Bombyx mori: one gene and its partners. The protein of the gene in region 1 purifies or fractionates together with the protein of each later gene. This does not show direct contact. Links are inferred from orthologs where the notes say so. Each region holds a gene or a part of one and is shown in the gene's direction. Other genes may lie near its edges. The genes, in order: kinesin-associated protein 3, kinesin-like protein Klp68D and kinesin-like protein KIF3A.

The links.
Region 2: the proteins of kinesin-associated protein 3 (region 1) and kinesin-like protein Klp68D purify together in Drosophila melanogaster (affinity purification with western blotting; 4 studies listed by BioGRID, with this or other methods). This does not show direct contact. The link is inferred for Bombyx mori from reciprocal best matches to the Drosophila melanogaster genes Kap3 and Klp68D.
Region 3: the proteins of kinesin-associated protein 3 (region 1) and kinesin-like protein KIF3A purify together in Drosophila melanogaster (affinity purification with western blotting; 5 studies listed by BioGRID, with this or other methods). This does not show direct contact. The link is inferred for Bombyx mori from reciprocal best matches to the Drosophila melanogaster genes Kap3 and Klp64D.

The regions. Positions count from the first base shown.
Region 1 is NC_085110.1:8,457,079-8,463,595, forward strand, and holds the end of kinesin-associated protein 3, read left to right. Parts: intron 1-2,368; exon of another isoform or gene 2,369-2,469; intron 2,470-3,831; coding exon 3,832-3,904; intron 3,905-4,555; coding exon 4,556-4,664; 3' UTR 4,665-5,243; downstream 5,244-6,517.
Region 2 is NC_085120.1:13,213,297-13,219,813, reverse strand, and holds part of kinesin-like protein Klp68D, read left to right. Parts: intron 1-4,286; coding exon 4,287-4,451; intron 4,452-4,547; coding exon 4,548-4,684; intron 4,685-5,118; coding exon 5,119-5,277; intron 5,278-5,976; coding exon 5,977-6,301; intron 6,302-6,517. UniProt on the Drosophila melanogaster protein: Plus-end directed microtubule motor that may be used for anterograde axonal transport and could conceivably move cargos in fly neurons different than those moved by kinesin heavy chain or other plus-end directed motors.
Region 3 is NC_085130.1:15,775,721-15,782,237, reverse strand, and holds part of kinesin-like protein KIF3A, read left to right. Parts: intron 1-2,320; exon of another isoform or gene 2,321-2,395; intron 2,396-2,947; coding exon 2,948-3,160; intron 3,161-4,058; exon of another isoform or gene 4,059-4,131; intron 4,132-6,517.

The DNA.
Region 1 (6,517 bases):
TAACAGACGAATTAGTCAATAATTCAATATCACGCCAACCGATTTCGATGATTACTGTTTTTAGTGTACATTAATTTGTTTTGGAATATCTTTTTTTTTCTATTTGAAGTCGGTTTTTGTTAAAACATGTCTATTTACAATTATTTATATTAAAACAAATTAGGCAGGTTTAATTCTACTAATATTATAAATGTCAAAGTTTGTGAAGATGTTTGAATGCTTGTCACTCAACCACGTGTAAACGGTTGAATGGTTATGCCAAAAATTTGTCACAGAGATACACCATTTCCTGAATAAAAGAATTAAAAGACAATAATACTTTTTATTCTGGTAATGTTTTTTCTCTTGATAATAGTCAATTTCGATCTAAAACCTTAGTTTTGAACTTATCACTAACATGGCGTTAACAAAATGTTTCTGTGGGATAACAATTCAAGTTTAGTGCTATTTTAATTCGGTTTTAATTCGACAATTTATGGTTCGCGATTTTGTGACTAGATGGTGTTGGCGTCGATTTACATCGTTCCATGTTTTCACTATCGTGACATACATAGTTAGAGGATCAGTGGATTAATATTAAAGCCTCTAAAGGTTTGATGTGATAATATTGAAAATAACTTTGCTTACTTTACGAAATACAATTTATTTTATGAATAGCTATTATTAACAATGACCATTTATTAATCCCAGGGCCAAACGCTGAAAATGGTAGGAATTCATCTAGGCTCTTCTTGCATTTCACATGGTCAGCTATACAATATCGACTGTGACTGTACTTACTCAAAATAATAGATCGTAGTGGATCTGCAAAAACACAATTCATTTAATATCAATGTTTTTTATTCAACCAAGCATATAATCTGTTGAATGAATTTGGATAAAATTACTTCTTGGGAAAGCTACTTTTTGCGTGGGCAAAGCCGGGAACAGAAGCTAATATAAATAATAAAGCTATATAATATAAAGCTATATAAATAATAAAGCTAATATAAATAATAGCTAAGCTAAATAATAAAATGAAACAACATAAATCGGCAAAATAAAATTTGTAGGGTTTGATTTTCCTATCATATTTTAATACAATATAGCCTAGAATTACTAAAAAGAAATATACTCGAAAGCAATGAATGCGGGTCACCTAAAGAAACCTATTGTTACGCCGGTAAGAGACGCCATCTATCGCCGAATAGTGGAACGAATATCGAAGGATCTAGTAGCACCTAGAACTGTCGGGAAGTACAACGCCATCTATTGTCAGATAGCGGAAACAATACTAGAGATGTGTGGAATATTCTCGATAATTCTAGGGATGAGGTATCGACTATAAAAGCGTTGCAGGGGTGGCACGCAGTCAGTCAGTAATCTGAACTACTCGAAGCGAAACAGCGAACGGATCACCTGAAGTGAAACGGAAGAAGCGAATTGAGAGTTTTAAACTGTTTGTTGAGTGTTTTAAGTGTTCTAAGCGTTTAATACAGTGTTAACTTGCAATTCGGTAGAATTTTTATTTATCGCGAACCCCAGCGCGTAAAACTATAAATCTTGGAAACTAAGAATGCCAGCTTAATAAAATAAACGGTGTTTAATAGACAATGTAATACCCCTTAAATGAAAGTAATAAAATTTATAAGTCACTACATGTTATTTATTAAAAATTACATAAAGAAGAAAAAACTGCTGATCTCGCCTTAAAACACAAACAGGAAACATGACATGTAATGTTCATCTCGTGTAGGTAGTCATTCACACTGAAACCTGTATGAGGTCGGGCATGGTCATGCATAAAAATAACATCTTCACCCAAATTGATCATAAATGGCCCAACGTGTTCATTAAGGATTTCTTCCAATCTTCTATCTTACGCTAGTTAAAGGGCCATTTTCTATGAACACCAGTTCTGTGCGACTCTCAGATGAAATTCCGGCCCACACAAGTACAGACCCACCACCGTAGGCTACTTTTTCGTCTATGCATGCTTGCTTGAATCGTGCTTGTAGAGCATAAATTTTGATTCGTCAGAGAGCATAACTTTCGACCAATCTTCAATAGTCTAATTTAAACGGTTCTGGGACATCTTAGTCTTGAAGTTCAATCACCACGCTCCAGTTTAGAGCCATTTGCAGGTCTAAGTGGTTTCAAGTTAGCTTAAACAACTCGTCGTCTTACTGTCCATGCGCTTGGGTTACGTCCTCTGAGGCATCGAGACTGATTTTTAAGTTCAGTTCCTGTAAGAAAGCGATTACGACGCATGGTGTTCACCAAGTATCGATCATCTCGTGCTGTGGTACACCTAGTCCTGCTTGTTCCTGGTCTGCGTAGGTTAGAGCCAGTTTCCTCGTAACGTTGGAGAACTTTGTACTGTTGACAGCGACATCGACAGTTCTGGCTATATCCCGCTGACTCCGGCCGGTTTCCAGCATTTCGTAAGGATTCTGGTGCATTCTTCAGTTGTAAGCAACATGATTACAGGTTGTATAATAAATATTGAACATTATCATTAGGTATGGTTTATATACCCACTTAAATGACAGATTAGAAACAAAATAAAAATCAAATGCAGTAATTTCGTAGTTTCATCTTCAAAAGTCTCCTTTTAAACCTACCCACCAAAAGGTTTAAATAAACCTTAATTTAATGAGTATTTAATTGTCTACTAAACACAATTTATTTCATTAAGCTACCATTCTTAGTTTCCGATATTTATAGGTTTTTAAGTGATCCGGATTCATTGCTCTCGAGTGTATAAGTAATTCTGAGATAAGTGTTTAAATATTTAGTGGTGATTGTGAGCAGATACTCTTATCCGACCCAGGCGACGAGACAACCCAAATCCGTCGTCGCTCGATACATGTCATCATCCTCGTCGAACTCTTCAATTAAGACAGAGAATTCGACGAGCGAACTCACACATTGACACTGCTCACTGAATTTCTCACCGGATCTTCTCAGTGGGTCGCGATTCCGATTTGAGGTTATTTCTACTAAGCACTGCTCTTGCTAGGGCTAGTGTTATTCTCTCAGGTTGAGCCCGTGAACTCATCTATCCGTGCGGGCCTAGCTGAAAAGACCAATTAGGCTTCCAGCGATAAGATAGAGGCTCGGGACTCTAATGCAGAGACCTATGACACTAAATTGAAATGGCAGGAAATGGTAGGCAGCGGCTTGGCTGGTAGGCCGTGGCTTGGCTGGTAGGCAGCGGCTTGGCTCTGTTCCTAGCATTGCTGAATTCCATGGGCGACGCTAACCATCAGTTGGGCCGTGTCCTCGTCCGCCTACAAGGGCAATAAAAAAAATGGCAGTTATGAAGATTGACGCGAGCACGAAATTAAAAAGTTTGTAATATTCTATTTGCTCAGACATTTATTTTTGTTAATCGTCTGTATTTTAGGTTAGCTTTTGTGAGAAAAAATATACCAGATTATAAGAAGAGGTAGTTGTATTTCACCTTGATAATAAATCGAGTCATTAATTTAATCCATATACTACACGAGATAGGTCCAGGAGAACATCTAATTTTAAAGACAAAACTTAATAGGGTTTAATACACGTTTAGCCATGACTTGACGGCAAACCTGAAGTATGTTGTCATAAACAGATCTGTGAACTAATTGCCGTAGATTTTTACGAGTGAGAAGACAAACTGGCAATGTAAGCCAGTCAGAAAGGAGGGAAAACGATGAGTGTGCTACGGTCGTTTAGTTTTTGTTGCAAGGCTACTTACTACACAGTAACGAGCTAGCTAGAACTTGCATTTTTATTGTATTCTAGAAGTTTTGTACCAGTAACATATCTTTTTATGGTAATTTTATTAAAATCTTATTATATTTTCAGACTCACAAACGTCAATTAACGACGACTCAGATAGCCTGTCGGGTGAGGTTGATCTTAATCGCGTCGAAGCCAGGTGAATAAAATTGATTAACACTGTAAAATACTATACATACTAACATAACCAACTTAAAGTGGTCCGTTAAGTTAATTTGTACGTTTAAGATAATATCTGGAAACACTGTACTGTTTTTATAAATTATTCATTAATGCTACTAATAGATAATTACTCTATCCCTAATATAACGTGGCTCTATTTGTTATATGTGAAAGTGCTAAGATCAAAGTAAGAATATTCGCAAATCAAGTTTTCAAATGACATTTCTGACAGTGTTTTGGCAGCGGCTTGAAGTGAAGGCACACGCCTTTGCTCCTGTCGTTGTCCGTGAGCAACAGCTTATGATCGCGTTTGTCATAGGAAAGATGCCTTTGTGTGGTGGACTCACAGCTCACCTGGTGTTAAGTCGTTACTGGAGCCCATAGACGTCTACAACATAAATGCGCCACCCACCTTGAGATATAAGTTTTATGGTCTCAGTATAGTTACAACGGCTGCCCCATCCTTCAAACCGAAACGCATTATTGCTTCACGGCAAAAATAGGCAGGGTGGTGGTACCTACCCGTGCGGACTCACAAGAGGTCCTACCACCAGTAAAAAATAAGATAGATATATAGATAGATAATGTCTAAGAAATATTCGAATAATTAACTCTAACCTCTTTAAAGGAACTCTTCAGAGGAGCATAAAGGCGAACTTTTCACTTCGACGGATGGCTCGTCGGGGAAGCTTTCGGATATCGACGGCCCTACCAGTGATATTGTACTATTCACTTAATTTAAAATAGTTTTAAATAATCACATAGATGCTTAACACGTATTAGTTTTTGCTTCTATTAATCTAGCTTCAAATAGAAAAAAAAAGCGTGCAACTATTTGTTATTTAGATTGTTCTGATTTATATTAAAATAAAACAGTAACAGCCTAAAATGTTCGTATGTAATTTAGACTCTACATAAATTATTTATTTTTTCCTAAAGCTTATTTAGTTTTTAGTAAGGATATATTTGGTGTCTTCGATCACAATCAAAAGAAATTAATCCTGTAAATAAAGCCCAACACTTTAGTCGATATCTTACAGAATATGACTCTAGGTTGCGATTATAGTAACTGAATGAAGATCTCAGTAATGTATGAAGAATACTTGACGCCCACTAACGCTAACAGCTTTTAACGATGTATTTGTGCACTGTGAAGTTTTAATGATCAAGCTCTGATTGATAGGTGAAGTCTAAATATTATGATGATCTCAGTATTAAATAAATCGCAGTTTTCTTTTTTGGTATAACTAAATATACAGTGTGGCCACAAATACTGTTATAATATATAAATAAAGATATTATATTTAAATTTAGAACGTGACTTTCTCTTATATTCATTACTACCTTATCTCATTTTCGTAGAAATCTGTGTTAAAGACTCTTGTGTGATTAAAATAAGCTAGGTAATAAAGAGAACCGAATTAATGTGAAAATATTACAATATTACACATTTGAAATTTTTGTAACACTATCCGCAATACTAATTGTTGTCAACCGAATGTTTGTGTATATAACTATTTTATGTATTTAAGTAGGTCGTATGAAACGTCCTCTGTTTATGTGAATTTTGCGTTCTGTAGTAAAAGTGGGTTTCGACATCTCGGATCCTCCCGACCCACTAACGGTGCTTTTAAGTACCCCAAGCACCGGTCATCGTTCTCGTCGAACCCATCGCTGGCGACGAAGGGCTCGGCAAGTAAATTAACCCACAGACACAGCCCATTGAGTTTCTCCAAGAATCTTCTCAGTGGGTCGCGTTTCCGATACGATGGTAGATTCTGCGAAGCTCTTGCTATGGTTCGTGTTAGCAACTACGTCAGGCTTGAGATCTGTGAGCTCACCTACTCGCCCGGTGACGCTGATATGGTCTATGAAGACCATCACCTTTGGTTGGAAAAAAGTGTACATATCAAAGTGGAATAAACTGTTGTTTTATGAGGATGAATTTATATAGTTCGTATCAAATATTTTTTTCATATCATTATCAATGTGTAACTAAGAAATGGTTTATACAAAATATATCTTCTGTCCTGCGCATTATTCTCGTTTCGTATATTCCGATGATTATACATATGTATGGATGTATGTAGTCTTTGGGCGCCACAGTCCAATTCTGTTGTTGAATGAAAATAAAATATCCATTATTTTATATAGGTACTTTAAAACTTTATTATAATGTAACGCTGGCAAGAGTATCGCCATCGATCGTGAAACAGCAGAAACGAATATCAAAAATCTAGTAAAATCGAGAATGATCGAGGAGTTCATCGCCATCTATTTTCAAATAGCGCAAACACATATCGAACGGCTCGACTTAACGGGAATATTCTCGATGATTGTAGAGATGTCGTATCGACTATAAAAGCGTTGCAAAGATAATACGAAGGCAGTAAGTAATTGGATCTATTCGAAGCGAAACAGCGAAAGGATCACCTGAAGCGAAGCGAAAGAAATGAATTACGAATAGCCCCCTTAGGCTAGGAGCGAATAGGTAGGAAAAAAACATTCACTTCTGCCTACAATGGCAATAATTTTTTTTAACTCGTGCGAAGGTAGTGTGTGTGTGTGCGTTTCTCGTTTTTCTCTTGAA
Region 2 (6,517 bases), on another chromosome or scaffold:
TCGACGCAAGCAGACCCATGCATCAATGCGTGCGTAACTACGCAACGTGCTATTGTTATCGTTTACAACCGCAGTACTAAATAAACAGAAAGCTCAAATCGGTAACGCGATGAAGGTCTAAGAAGAAAACAGCAATCGCCAATTAGATTAAATTACCTATCCCAACCTTCAAGTATTTTCCCTGTAAAGGCACAAATTGCAGGAAAACGTGCCGAAATGAAATAGTGTTGTGAAAGTATGAGACAAATATATTTTAAATTTTATTATATGTATTCATTTCAATTTGAGACGGGGAAAGAAATCTTCCTTGAAATGGTATTTATTCATTTTAAATGTGATTAAACTGTTTTATTTATATTTCAAATTGAAAGATAGACTTTGTCCAAGCCTGTTTTTTGAACATGTACCGGTTACATCTTTCGGTAGGATTTTCGGCTTTTAAGAATTTAAATCCTTAAAGATATTAAGAGTAACGAAATTATTGAAACATTTTATTGCCTAGTGTGAAAATGAGGATTTAGTACGTTGGTCGGTGTGCGCAATTGTGTGCAATTGAACACGTCTTATTCATGCTAAACGTGATTTCAGGAACGTGTTGTATCAGTTTTCCGAGAACAATGTTATGTTTAGGAGTCATTTTAGATTTTGAATCATTGTTTTTTCGTATAATGGATACATTCCAGAAAATAAATTTCATGTTAAACTGACACAACTCAATATACACATTAGGTTCACTCACTTCACTTGATCTTGATATGCTCACTTTGAGCTCTCATATGATGGTTTTATTATTTAAATAACAAAAAACAAAAGGCTACAACGATATTGTTTTAAATTAGTTTGTTGAAAACGATCGAAATGTAACCAACCATAATTCCGTAAGAATTAGATTTATTTTCTGTACACTTTCTGTTTTATTTTATTATCGTGTTGACATTTTGAAGGAAAAAACGATTATTTCCAAAAATGTTTTAATGATAACACTAAAACCTTTTCAATGTCTACTAAACAAAAAAAGAAGTAAAAAATATAGGCTGACAAACAGAGAAATCGTTTTCACTTTGCCTATTTATGACAGATTAACATTTGCAACTTGTAAAGATTGTACCAATGATATGACTTTATCCGGAATATTTATAAAAAACGAAAGGAATCTTGAGCCTGAGATTTTTTTTAAATACTTTGGTTACACGAGATAAATCGGCCTGGTATATGCGAATTCAAACAATTTTTAACTTGAAAAATCAATCAGTAATTTGAAATTTATTATCAGTTGATCAAATATTATTATGATCGCGACCTTAATTCATGGGCAACAAGCAGACGTAATTAAATACATGTTGATTTCGCCTGGATTTTATATTAATTTATGATACATTCAATGTTTATATGAAAGTTATTTCATCTATTTGTGGATTGGACAATATCAATTCTAGTTCTGAACCTAGTTCAGGTAGCCAAATGTGGTATTTATAAAAAAGCAATATTATTATTACATTATTTACATCGAGGAGCTCACGGACCAGCGTTGGGTGCTCACGGCCCACAGATACAGCAACAGAAAAGAGTCGTCCTCCTTGTGACGTTAGGCCAACCTATAGCTGTCTGACAACCGTGTAGGCTCATTTTACACTCCATCATCAGTCAATAAGTTAATGTATTGGTCGTAGATCATAAGCCCGTCGCATTTACGAGTCGGGGGATAGTCGCATGATTCGCTGCGAGTGGGTACGTCACATGTTTTGCATTACTCTCAGCTCACGGACATTTCAAGCAGATTCATTGTTTGATAACACAATACTGGTGGTAGGACGTATTGGGAGTCCGCGTGGGTAGGTACCACCACCCTACCTATTTCTGCCGTGAAGCAGTAATGCGTTTCGGTTTGAAGGGTGGAGCAGCCGTTGTACTGTAAAAACTGAGACCTTAGAACTCATGTCTCAAGGTGGTAGATGGGGGCATTTACTTTGTAGATATCTATGGGCTCCGGTAACCACTTAACATCAGGTGGGCCGTGAGCAATAAAAAAAATTGTTCTAAATTTTGGTTTTTAGTACTAATACCTTAGATTGGGATTTTTTTAGAGCTTACAACGTCAATCCTACAAATATCAAATTTGTATGTCGACTGGGAAGAACATGCCCAATTGATCGATAGTACGTCGCACCTGGCAACTAATCAGTTCTTACATTTTATAGACATATAAACCCAAGAAAGTAACATGAGAGATTTTATTATGAGGCTACAATTATTGGTTTATTAAATAAATCTTACGACTGTAACTCTTAATTGTCACTTTCTTTAAAACGGTTATCTGTCTGTGTTCAAATATTACATCGAATAAAATAGTAAAGATTTTTGTGTATCACGGTCACCTCATCCGCAGTGGCAGAACCGAATTTGATGTGATTTGAAATTGTGAAATAAAGGGGCTAACATTTAGTGTCAAACATACAACAAAAATTATTCGAAATAGATTAAAAACAAAACAAAACGCAGCTATATATTTGAGATTTGAGTTTTAACTCGATTACTTTATTATCGGTTTGCTTGGGTACTTATTTATAGTATAATTAAAACAACTTTTGCGCTGTAATCTCTGGTTTCTTTAAACTAATCACGTATACATTTTTTTTAGTTTTATATCCAATCGGGTGATTAATTAAAAACATTGTTTTGATGAAAATAGATTATTTCTTCCAAAAATCACTCATAAAATCACGTAGCAGGTACGATTATAGAATAGAATAACAAGAACGGAAACTAAATACAATGCATAATTATGAAGGTTTGCATTTGAAAACAATTAAATAAATACATTATAATACACAGGTCATATAATATTCTAAAGCTGTTTATTCTCAAGTACCTCTGCCTTTGTTTTATGAAATACCCATTAAAATAAAGAAATAAAGGCCAAATCCTTGGTATTATAATTTCCATTTACATTGAATGTTAAAATGTTTCTGTATTAAAAATCTATCATCAGAATGATGTTCAAAACATCGTTATAGAAATATAATGCATAGTTTTGGTTTCTCATAGCAATAAGTGTGAGAACGGAACACAAGGAGGAAACGTTTAATAGGAGCGCAACTGCCAGCGCGGCGGCGCGAGGCGATGAACGAGTCTAGTGCTCCGATAGTTTAGATATATTGCGCCGGAAGGCATATATGTATATACGTAAGGGACGTCGAGGGGCGCCTAGACTAAAGGCGAGAAGAACCGATCAATGAACTATATACGATCAATTGTTACATGGTTCAGATGCAATTATCAAAAGTATCGTGAAACCCAAATAAGCTTTTTAATTAAGATGTTTTTCAGCCAGGTCAATAATATACCCGTAAAAGGTATAAGGCATATTTTAAAAATGAATCCTCAACCCTCTTTATGGGCCCAATCAAAGAAACGGTGGGCAGGGATTCCATTCCATTCCATCAAAGGCCTTTCAATATACACTGCTTGCGCTCTAATTTTTTTTAAAGGGGAAACGATTTATCCTTGATCCTAGTTTCGGCACGACATCGGAACGATATGACATACCAACAGTGGTTTGAATTAACAAACTTATTGTAAAATTTGATTTAACCACTAAACTAAATGAAGGGACAGCTGTTGCAGATCAGATGCACAATTAAATTTTGATTTAAACTAACCTGCCACACACACTCAACAACACTGTTTTATTTTTTATCAAATGATCGTAACTGTTATTTAATCTAAAAACCCACCGTCAACATAAAGCAAATGTTCGAAACTGATTCTGAAAAGAATTAGATTGCTAGATGAAACAGGCATGAATACAGAAACAAGATTCACAATCTCAACACCAATAAAGCCCAAACACGGGTCCGAATACGGGTCCTGTAATCCATTAAGCAGGTACCGATTTCTGTAATGAAGACTACATGACCGGTGAACTTACTTGAAAAGACTTTCTTGAAAATGGTTCACTTCAAGTACTGCTACAGGACATATTGTAATGATTTACACAAACAACTACAAAATACAGACGCGCCTCTGTCTATTTAGCTAATCTAAACATCAACATCGCACACGGGAAGCTTAGACATTTGAAGACATACATGATAATTTCATGCTTAATAGTCCCGAGCTAGAATTGTCGGCGACGCTTTCACACGCTCGAGACAAGAACGAGTTCGCTCATGTCCCTTGAAGTGGACATCAAGAAAGACATTGATTTGGCGGGTAGAAGGTCACTAACAACCCGACCAGATAAATAACAAGTTCAGTTCCAATAACAGATATTTGAATATTTTCAGCGTGGGCAAGTTGAACCTCGTGGACCTGGCGGGAAGCGAGCGGCAGTCCAAAACGGGCGCCTCCGCGGACAGACTGCGCGAGGCTTCTCGCATCAACCAGGCCCTCTCCTCCCTGGGAAACGTCATCTCCGCGCTCGCAGAGAACAGCCCCCACGTGCCGTACAGGTACGCATCCCTGCAATTAAATGTCGTTTTTCATGAACGGTCGACTCGGTGATTGTGTGGAAGATACAGAATATTGAAGTATCTGTGTGTGCGCAGGGACTCGAAGCTGACTCGGATTCTGCAGGACTCGCTGGGCGGCAACAGCAAGACCATAATGATCGCGAACATCGGGCCCGCCTCCTACAACTACGACGAGACCGTCACCACGCTGCGGTACGCGCACCGCGCCAAAGGTACCGAGACTTATCATATTCAATATTATCTATATTTTCCAAAGAAAACAATTAGACGAATGCAGTTAAATTACTTATTTTCTCTTATATGAGGCCGTCAGCGCAAAAGTGGCCTAAGCTTACCATAATTATTATGGAGCAATGAAGTTTAAGTTTTCATGAATTTGAATTTGAGTAGGCATAAAAACAATACGCGCAAAAATGTTTACAAAGTCATCTGTTATCTATGGGTGAAACTATGGATGGGCCGGTTTTGCATCAAAATATACTATTTTTAAATAAATTGCAATATACATAATTATAAGCATGATTATGATAAATTGTGGGTTAGGCCACTTTTGCGCTGACGGCCTCGTATATAGCCGAACAAATTTTGTAACCGTTACCCTCGGAGCTGAGGACCCTAACATGACACTGGACTGCACCCATTTCAGCGATAAAGAACAAGCCGGTCCGCAACGAGGACCCGAAGGACGCCAAGCTGCGCGAGTACCAGGCCGAGATCGAGCGACTCCGCGCGCTCATCGAGCAGAGGAAGCTCATCGAGAAGCGGCCCAGGAAGCCGCGCCCCGCCAGGCCGCACCCCGACAACGGTAAGTGCGGCGCCGACTCTGTCTCTATCTGTTCCCATCGGGCGCCGCGGTGCAGGTGTCGGCCGGAGCACCCGCGGGCCCGTGCATTTGCGACAACCAGAAGGTGAGACGCCCTCGGTCACGTTTAACGCAATCCACGAGGAGTCCGAACACCGGCCGACACGCCTCCAGCACGGACCGCCAGGACTGGACCCCCGCGTTCTAATGCTTCCTTCACCGTCTTATAAGTCGTCGTGGCCTAAAGGATAAGACGTCCGGTGCATTCGTATCTAGCGATAGCACCGGTGTTCGAATCTCGCAGGCGGGTAAAAATTTTTCTAATGAAATACGTACTCAACAAATGTTCACGATTGACTCCCATGGTGAAGGAATAACATCGTGTAATAAAAATCAAAACCCGCAAAATTATTATTAATGATATAATTTGCGTAAATACTGTTAGCAGGACGTCTCGTTAGTCTACACGGGCAGGTAGCAGCGCCGCTGGTGGTGGTGGTGGTGGTGGCATTTACGTTGTAGATGTCAATGTTGATGTTAAATTTTATAACTTTATAGTTCTTCATTTCTGTCACCGCTGTTTTATTGACATTCTACATTAACCCGAACTGACTGCCAAACAGCGCAAGCGCGGGAACAGCTGACGTTAAAAAGAGTCTGCCCTCTTTACACATGCCGTATTTATTACAATTATTATTTCAGCAGCGGAAGACGACACGCTCAGTATAGAGAACGAGAACATTCTAGCGGAATCTACGATAGAACAAGAAAAAGTAAAGACTGAAGAATTGGAGCAACAGATTCGATCGCTGGAGGACCGGCTCGTGCAGGGCGGTGCGGGGAAGGACCTCATCAACAACCTCAACGAGAGCCAAATTATACTAGAGCAGAGGAACCTCGAGATCGCGGAGAGGAAGAACAGAGAGGTGGAGATGCAGCAGAAGATAGAGCTGGAGGAGGAGACCGCCGCCATCGTCACCAACACGTTCGCGACCCTGCAGCAAGAGGTCGACCACAAGACGCAGAGGTCAGTGGACCGCTCGCCGCCCCCACAGCCGACTTACTGGGCGCGGCAATCTTTACTTCTTTATTTCTCAACTCTCCGTCAAATTATATCGGTCCACCCGAAGCGCTTCTGCAATCGGCATGTTTCTACTTAAGCATATTTACAAAAACATTCAATAAGAAACTATTTGAAATAACTGATCCGACTGCGATACATTCTTTTTTTTGTATGTAGTTA
Region 3 (6,517 bases), on another chromosome or scaffold:
CAGCCAACATCGTTCTATGGAAGAACTGATTGGTCCCACATTACCAATGTTGTCCACATGGCGTGTTGGACCAACGCGTTGTCGATAGATACTTTATGTTAGCGGTTTGGTCTCGGTCAAACTTAACCGGCCTGTGGACGCTGAGATTTTGGCTAATATTAGAATCTGGATATGAAGAATACACAGTAAATACAAATAAACTTTTGATTTTTATCATCTTAACTATCCAGGAACTAGAATTGGAGAGTCTTAAATGATCTTAACTGTTCTCATGACCAGCGTCCAACGGTGATGGCAATCGTACTCCACCAAATATACCGTAGAGTGGTTCGACTTTGTTAGCGAAAATAATAAGGGATAAAATTAGTTGGAACACGTAACTAGGTCACAAGATCTTGGTGCTAAAACAATTTGTCCAGCGTAACTGAGAAATTAGGGGTACCCTGGGCCGCTGAGTCCTCTACTAATGCTCCCCCTTCTGTGGTAGCAGTGGTTTAGTTGTTGTAAAACCGCCCCACTTCTACCCGTGGTTGTGGTTGTGATAGCTTTAGTAAAAAGCTTTTAGTAAAGCTCTACAAATTACAAAAACAGGTCACAGGCGGACGTATCACGATGCACAGCAATGAGCGATAAACTGAAGGAGGGAGGGGGGAGGAGCAAAGCTTACTTAGTGAATTATTAAAACAAGAACATGACCTTATTTAATATTAGCACTAAAAAACAAAACAAAAAAAAACCTTAATAAATTTTATTTATAACAATAACCATAAAAAAAAGAGAAATTTTTATTTTTATAACTCACATAATGCATCCTAAATCCTATCATTGAGATTATTTTTTTATTGCTTAGATGGTTGGACGAGCTCACAGCCCATCTGGTGTTAAGTGGTTACTGGAGCCCATAGACATCTACAACGTAAATGCGCCACCCACCTTGAGATATAAGTTCTAAGGTCTCAGTATAGTTACAACGGCTGCCCCACCCTTCAAACCGAAACGCATTACTGCTTCACGGCAGAAATAGGCAGGGTGGTGGTACCTACCCGTGCGGGCTCACAAAAGGTCCTACTACCGGTAATATTGATAGTGAGATATTGCAGGAACATCCGTTAGGTAAATATTTTCCGACCTATATTTCGATATCTTTACTTACCTAGTGAACTATTTAAAAGAGGAGCACTTATTTATTTAATACTAGCTGACCCGGCAGACTTCGTAGTGCCTCAGTCGTTAAATAAAAGAACTAAACTTTTGTATAAAATAAACTTAAAACACACAAAAGGAATCGGTCCGACGGGAGACACATCAAAGGAAAAACTAAATTGTTATTTTTATTTTTAATTCCGAGCATTTTTATATTTACCTACCTTTTAAATCTTCTCTGGACTTCCACAAATAATTCAAGACCAAAATTAGCCAAATCGGTCCAGTCGTTCTCGAGTTTTAGCGAGACTAACGAACAGCAATTCATTTTTATATATACTAGAGGTCCCGCAGTAGTCGAAATTCGACTATAATTAATTGGAATTGTAAGTTTGTACACTATTATGATTGTATTTTATACTTCTATAATCACAGATTTCGCCAAGACTACACTATAAAAAATATTAACAAAGACAAACAATATTTCATGTATTCTCAATTTGACAACAGACGTCAAGAACAAAAGTTTGACAATAAATAGTATGCATGCGTGTGTGCGTCAAATACATGGTATGTAGTGTGTGTAATGTTTTCTTTATTGATTTAATGTATCTGTTATGCATTATTTTAAAAAAATATTAGCATTGTGCACTTCTTCTCTATATTCTCTATAAGTGTGGAAAATTTCATACTCCTCCGTCCGCGCAATTTTCGTAAAAAGGGGTACAAAGTTTTTGCTTCACGTATTAATATATAGATAGATTAGCTTTAAAAAACAAAAAAAAAAGCACGTTAATAAATTTTAATTGTAACAATACGTACGTAAACACTAAAAATAAACTAGGCGCGTCTATTCTATAAAGGGATTCTGCAACGCGGGCCGTCACTATTTCGATTTAGGTCAACGCGCTAATAAGTAAGAGTAACACACAAACGCCAAACCTAATTCGGGCGTTCTAATATCGAAAACGTACCCGGGTCCGTCCGTGGCTTTGTTTAAATCGGTATTAGTAATTGCATAAATGGGTGTATTATTTTGCGTTTTAAACGTTTGAAATTGGAACGATGCTCGTTCGTTACGTACGTACGTACGTATATACGTATGTAAATTAATATTTTCTGGGACACGAAGGTGTTGCCAGTTGCCACAGATCGCTGGGCCGCCTCCTCGCAGTCTCCGGCGGGCTTTGCTCGCTAGCGGACGCGTCGGGTCATCCGGCCCGCCGAAATTGTGTGACCTAAATTGAGAAATGTAACAAAGAACGCTTTTATTTTATATATTTTGTTTTTCCTAACCGCCAAAATTGATAATGCCTTTGTATGGTATAACCGTGTTTTAAGATTGCGGGCTCTGTATGATTTTTTTTTTAACGAATGTCTCGATTTCGAAACAAAGGCGTTTGCGTAATGCAAACTCGAGAAATTTGAGTACATAATGTGTTGTAATATTATTATTTGAAACGAGGGAATCGTTTGCGCGTTGCGAGAAAGAAAAAAAAATAGCGTAGTTGCTTTTTTAACGGTCGCGTAACAAAGGAGTGCTGAGGTTTTTTTTTGTTTGTTTGATTTCCATTTTTAAATCGCGCAAATAACGAGAGTTAGCAGCGCGCGCTTCTTCGGAATAGCGCGTTCGTTACAACGTACATAATTTGAACGACACGCGACGCTAGTTTAGAGCTTGACCCCAATATTGCGAGGTCAAATGTGACACCAATGTTTTTTTTTGTTTTTTTTTTTTGTGAATTTGCAGCCGCGTTCCTTTTTCGAAACCACACTAATGATAACTTTTTTGTGTTTTCAATAGGACGCAGAGCTCTCGGCTCCGACCGTCGAGAATGTTCGGGTGGTGGTTCGCGTGCGGCCCATGGACCAGAGGGAGAAAATGGACGGCTCCTACAATTGCGTGTCCGTAGATTCCGTGAACGGGACTGTGGCTGTGACCAGGAACAACGTGACGCCTCCAGAGCCGCCTCGCGTTTATGCTTACGATGCTGTCTTCGACTCTAACACCAGTCAGGTAAGTGCTATTTTGGCCTGACCGGGCCATGACAACTAAACTAAGGTAGGTGTTGGTCGTAGTCATAAATAAGGGGTTGCCCACAGGATTTAAAAAAAAAAGGAGTTTTCAAAATATATGTGTAAACCGCGGTACTGTATTTGGTACATAGTTAACTGTTTGATATATATTATTATGTAGGTGGAATTGACGCATGCGCGGTAGTGTCCATACCAATCGACGTTTTGAAGCCCTTTAGTACTACGTGCATTGCATAGTACAATTGGGTCATGAAATTTGTAGGAATTTTATATAAATTTGTCTTAATTTTCATTCAATAATTCGATAATAAATTCTTTTAGTTTCCGTTTATATGAACTTTACGAGGTGTGCGTTTTTTTTTTATATGACATTTACCTACTTGTTCTCATTTTGAAACATTTAAAAACCTTTGAATTTGGAATCGAATGAAGGATTATATTTTGTTTTTTTTTTGTTTAAATTACGAAGCCGTATTTAAACGTTCACGCCCACAAAAGCGTTTCGGTACATCGTTCGGCGGAAACGAACGAAGCCGACGGTTGCGCGTTGCAGTGCAGCTCGCTCGGAGCCGATTCCCTCCGAGTACTCTACATTATTTCACTAGCCGTCGACGTTGCGACGAGCGCAGTTGTCAGCGGAACATAACCGCTCTGTTACAATGACTTAGTTAAAGTACTCGTATTGACTCTTATTACTGTCGGAATTAGGTTGAGTATTTTGAGTTATCGCGGTACTTGTTTTGAATTTGGAATTTGAATTTTATTTGACAGTCGACATGGTTCATTGTTGTAGTGATATGGAACTGATATTATAGTGTTGTACCAAGAATACTTTGGCGTCGAAGAAGAAGTGATGAACACGAATAGAAGATGAAACGCATTACTCGTCCGCCCTTCGTCTTGACTGGCGCTGTCGCTTGCATCAGTCTTGTCGAATGGTGGGTGAGTTTCGTGTGTGACGTCATTTAGAAGACGACTCGAAGGCTGAATTGAAACGACGCTTATGTGTGAGCATTGAACGTGTGACTTGAAAAACAAAGAGCTCAGTTTTGTTATTTTGTTTTTGTTGAACATTAAAAATCTTCAATGTGGGAATTTTCAAAGCCATTCTTTTTCAAGTTACGTTCTAAGCCCACAAACTGGCAAACGAAATGTGAAGCAAGAAGATTAATAAACGTGTGGTGTAACGTTCTTAGTGCATCTTGCGCTACGTTTGGGTTTCGGCGCTTCGTGTCGAAATCCTGGTATTGCAAGACGATTAAGAAATATATTGCTTAATGCACAGGGAACGTTGCACCTAATAACGTCGAGCGAGAACCGAAGAATCGAAGTGTTTCTATATTTAAAAATGTGCATTAAATTTTTCGATTTGTTTTTTTTGGAAATCGAAACTTTTTAAATGTCAGCCAGTTGTCTAGAATAAATTTGAAAATGGAATAGTTTCGGATTTGGATCTTGTATTTTGTAATTTGAACTAATAATAATGTTTATTATATTATACGCGCCGATGTATGTATGTATGTATGTAAAATGTCATTTAAAGCAATCACTGTGACTAAAGTTCTTATATAATGTTTTTTTCGAGGTTACCATTAAATTTCAAGGAATCTTAAAACTGATTAGATAATTTGTTAATGTAACGGAAATTTTAAAACAATTTATTACGAATAACTTTGGTATTTTTTTTATAGGAAAACACGAAACGTATTAAATACAGAGTATACTTAATATCGAAGTCAATCTGTATAAGTTTTTTTTTTTTTTTGCAAAAGCACATAATGCGGGAAATCGTTCCAAATACGAAATGCACACAAAGATAGCGTTACCAACATGACGAAACGAAATTGAGTTTGTAATGAAAGAGGGCGACCTCGTCGTGTTGCAGCCGGGCCTGGGGATGCCCTAATTGCGCTGTGCCGGCGACCGATCAATAACACTCGAACCGTTCTGTAGGTCTATCCGCGTCTAGCACTACCGCCTACCATCGCTAGTACGTACAGAGTCGTATAGAGCAGGTGCTCCCAAACTTTTTTTTGCCCACTTTGAGAATAAATTATTTTTTAGCGCTACCATTTTTTCACCTACCTAAAAATCACTACAGCGAGAGGTCAGTCGGTCTAAGATAAAGTCAGAAATCGCCTCCCAAGCCTTGTTTATCTGGGTCTCTTATCGTCCCCCTTTCGTTTTTTTTAAGGGATCTTGTGACCTGGTAACTAAGACCTTTAGGTAAAGTCTTATTTTAATTTTAATTCTTTTATTTTATGAAAAATGATAATATGGAGTGAAATGAAATGAAATGAAGATGATTAATTTGAGACATAAATCAGCTGAGATGAAATTAAATGAGATGAGATGATATGGGATATCTATAATCTCTGTAAAATTGTGGTTATTTATTGAGACTTTTTCAGGGGGCTTTTTGGAGGATCTCGAGAAGCTACGTCCATCGGCTTTGTTTCCTTTTCCCACATTTGTGCACTTTCACAAATATTAAACAGTTAATAAACCACCGTTATTACGCATTTAAACCTGAAGAAACACTAAATAGACAGAATAAAACAAATCACACAACTACACTCCTCGCGTTCCCACTAAAAAGTCTGCCCTCTTTAGGCCTGCAGCGCCAACAAGAGGGCGTTATCGCCCACTTTGGGAAAGGCTGGTATAGAACGAAACCGAACGGTTCGTACTAGCTCGCACTAGTTCGTCCAGTTTAAATTTGGAAATGGAACGTAAAACAATTGAGCTATATACGTAGAATTAGTTCATCGGTCAGATGTACACGGAGAGAGAATGATTTAAAAAAAGAATTTATATATTTTTTATTGTCTCTACAATGATTTTACTTTTGAATGGATTACAAATGAATTGTTTTAATTAGGTATAGTTTGTTTTTGTCGTGATCCGGAATTTTTTTTGAAAATGGAATTATGGAACTATGGATGATGTTTGAAACAATTTCTAGATTGAGAGCTGTGAGAGAAAGGTTTGTATAAAAGAATGTTGTTTTAGGAACAAGAAAGTGTTTTTTTTTTGTAATAGTAATGTGATTATTACAGGTCCCATTACCGAGTTTCGCTAAAGATGTATTATTGTTTATAAATTAGAGAAGTGCATTTACAGTGCGTTTCCAGAGATCTTTTTTGCCACGTACCATCCGGCTATGGAATGAGCTCCCCTCCACGGTGTTTCCCGAGCGCTATGACATGTCCTTCTTCAAACGAGGCTTGTGGAGAGTATTAAGCGTTAGGCAGCGGCTTGGCTCTGCCCCTGGCATTGCTGAAGTCCATGGGCGACGGTAACCACTCACCATCAGGTGGGCCGTATGCCCGTCTGC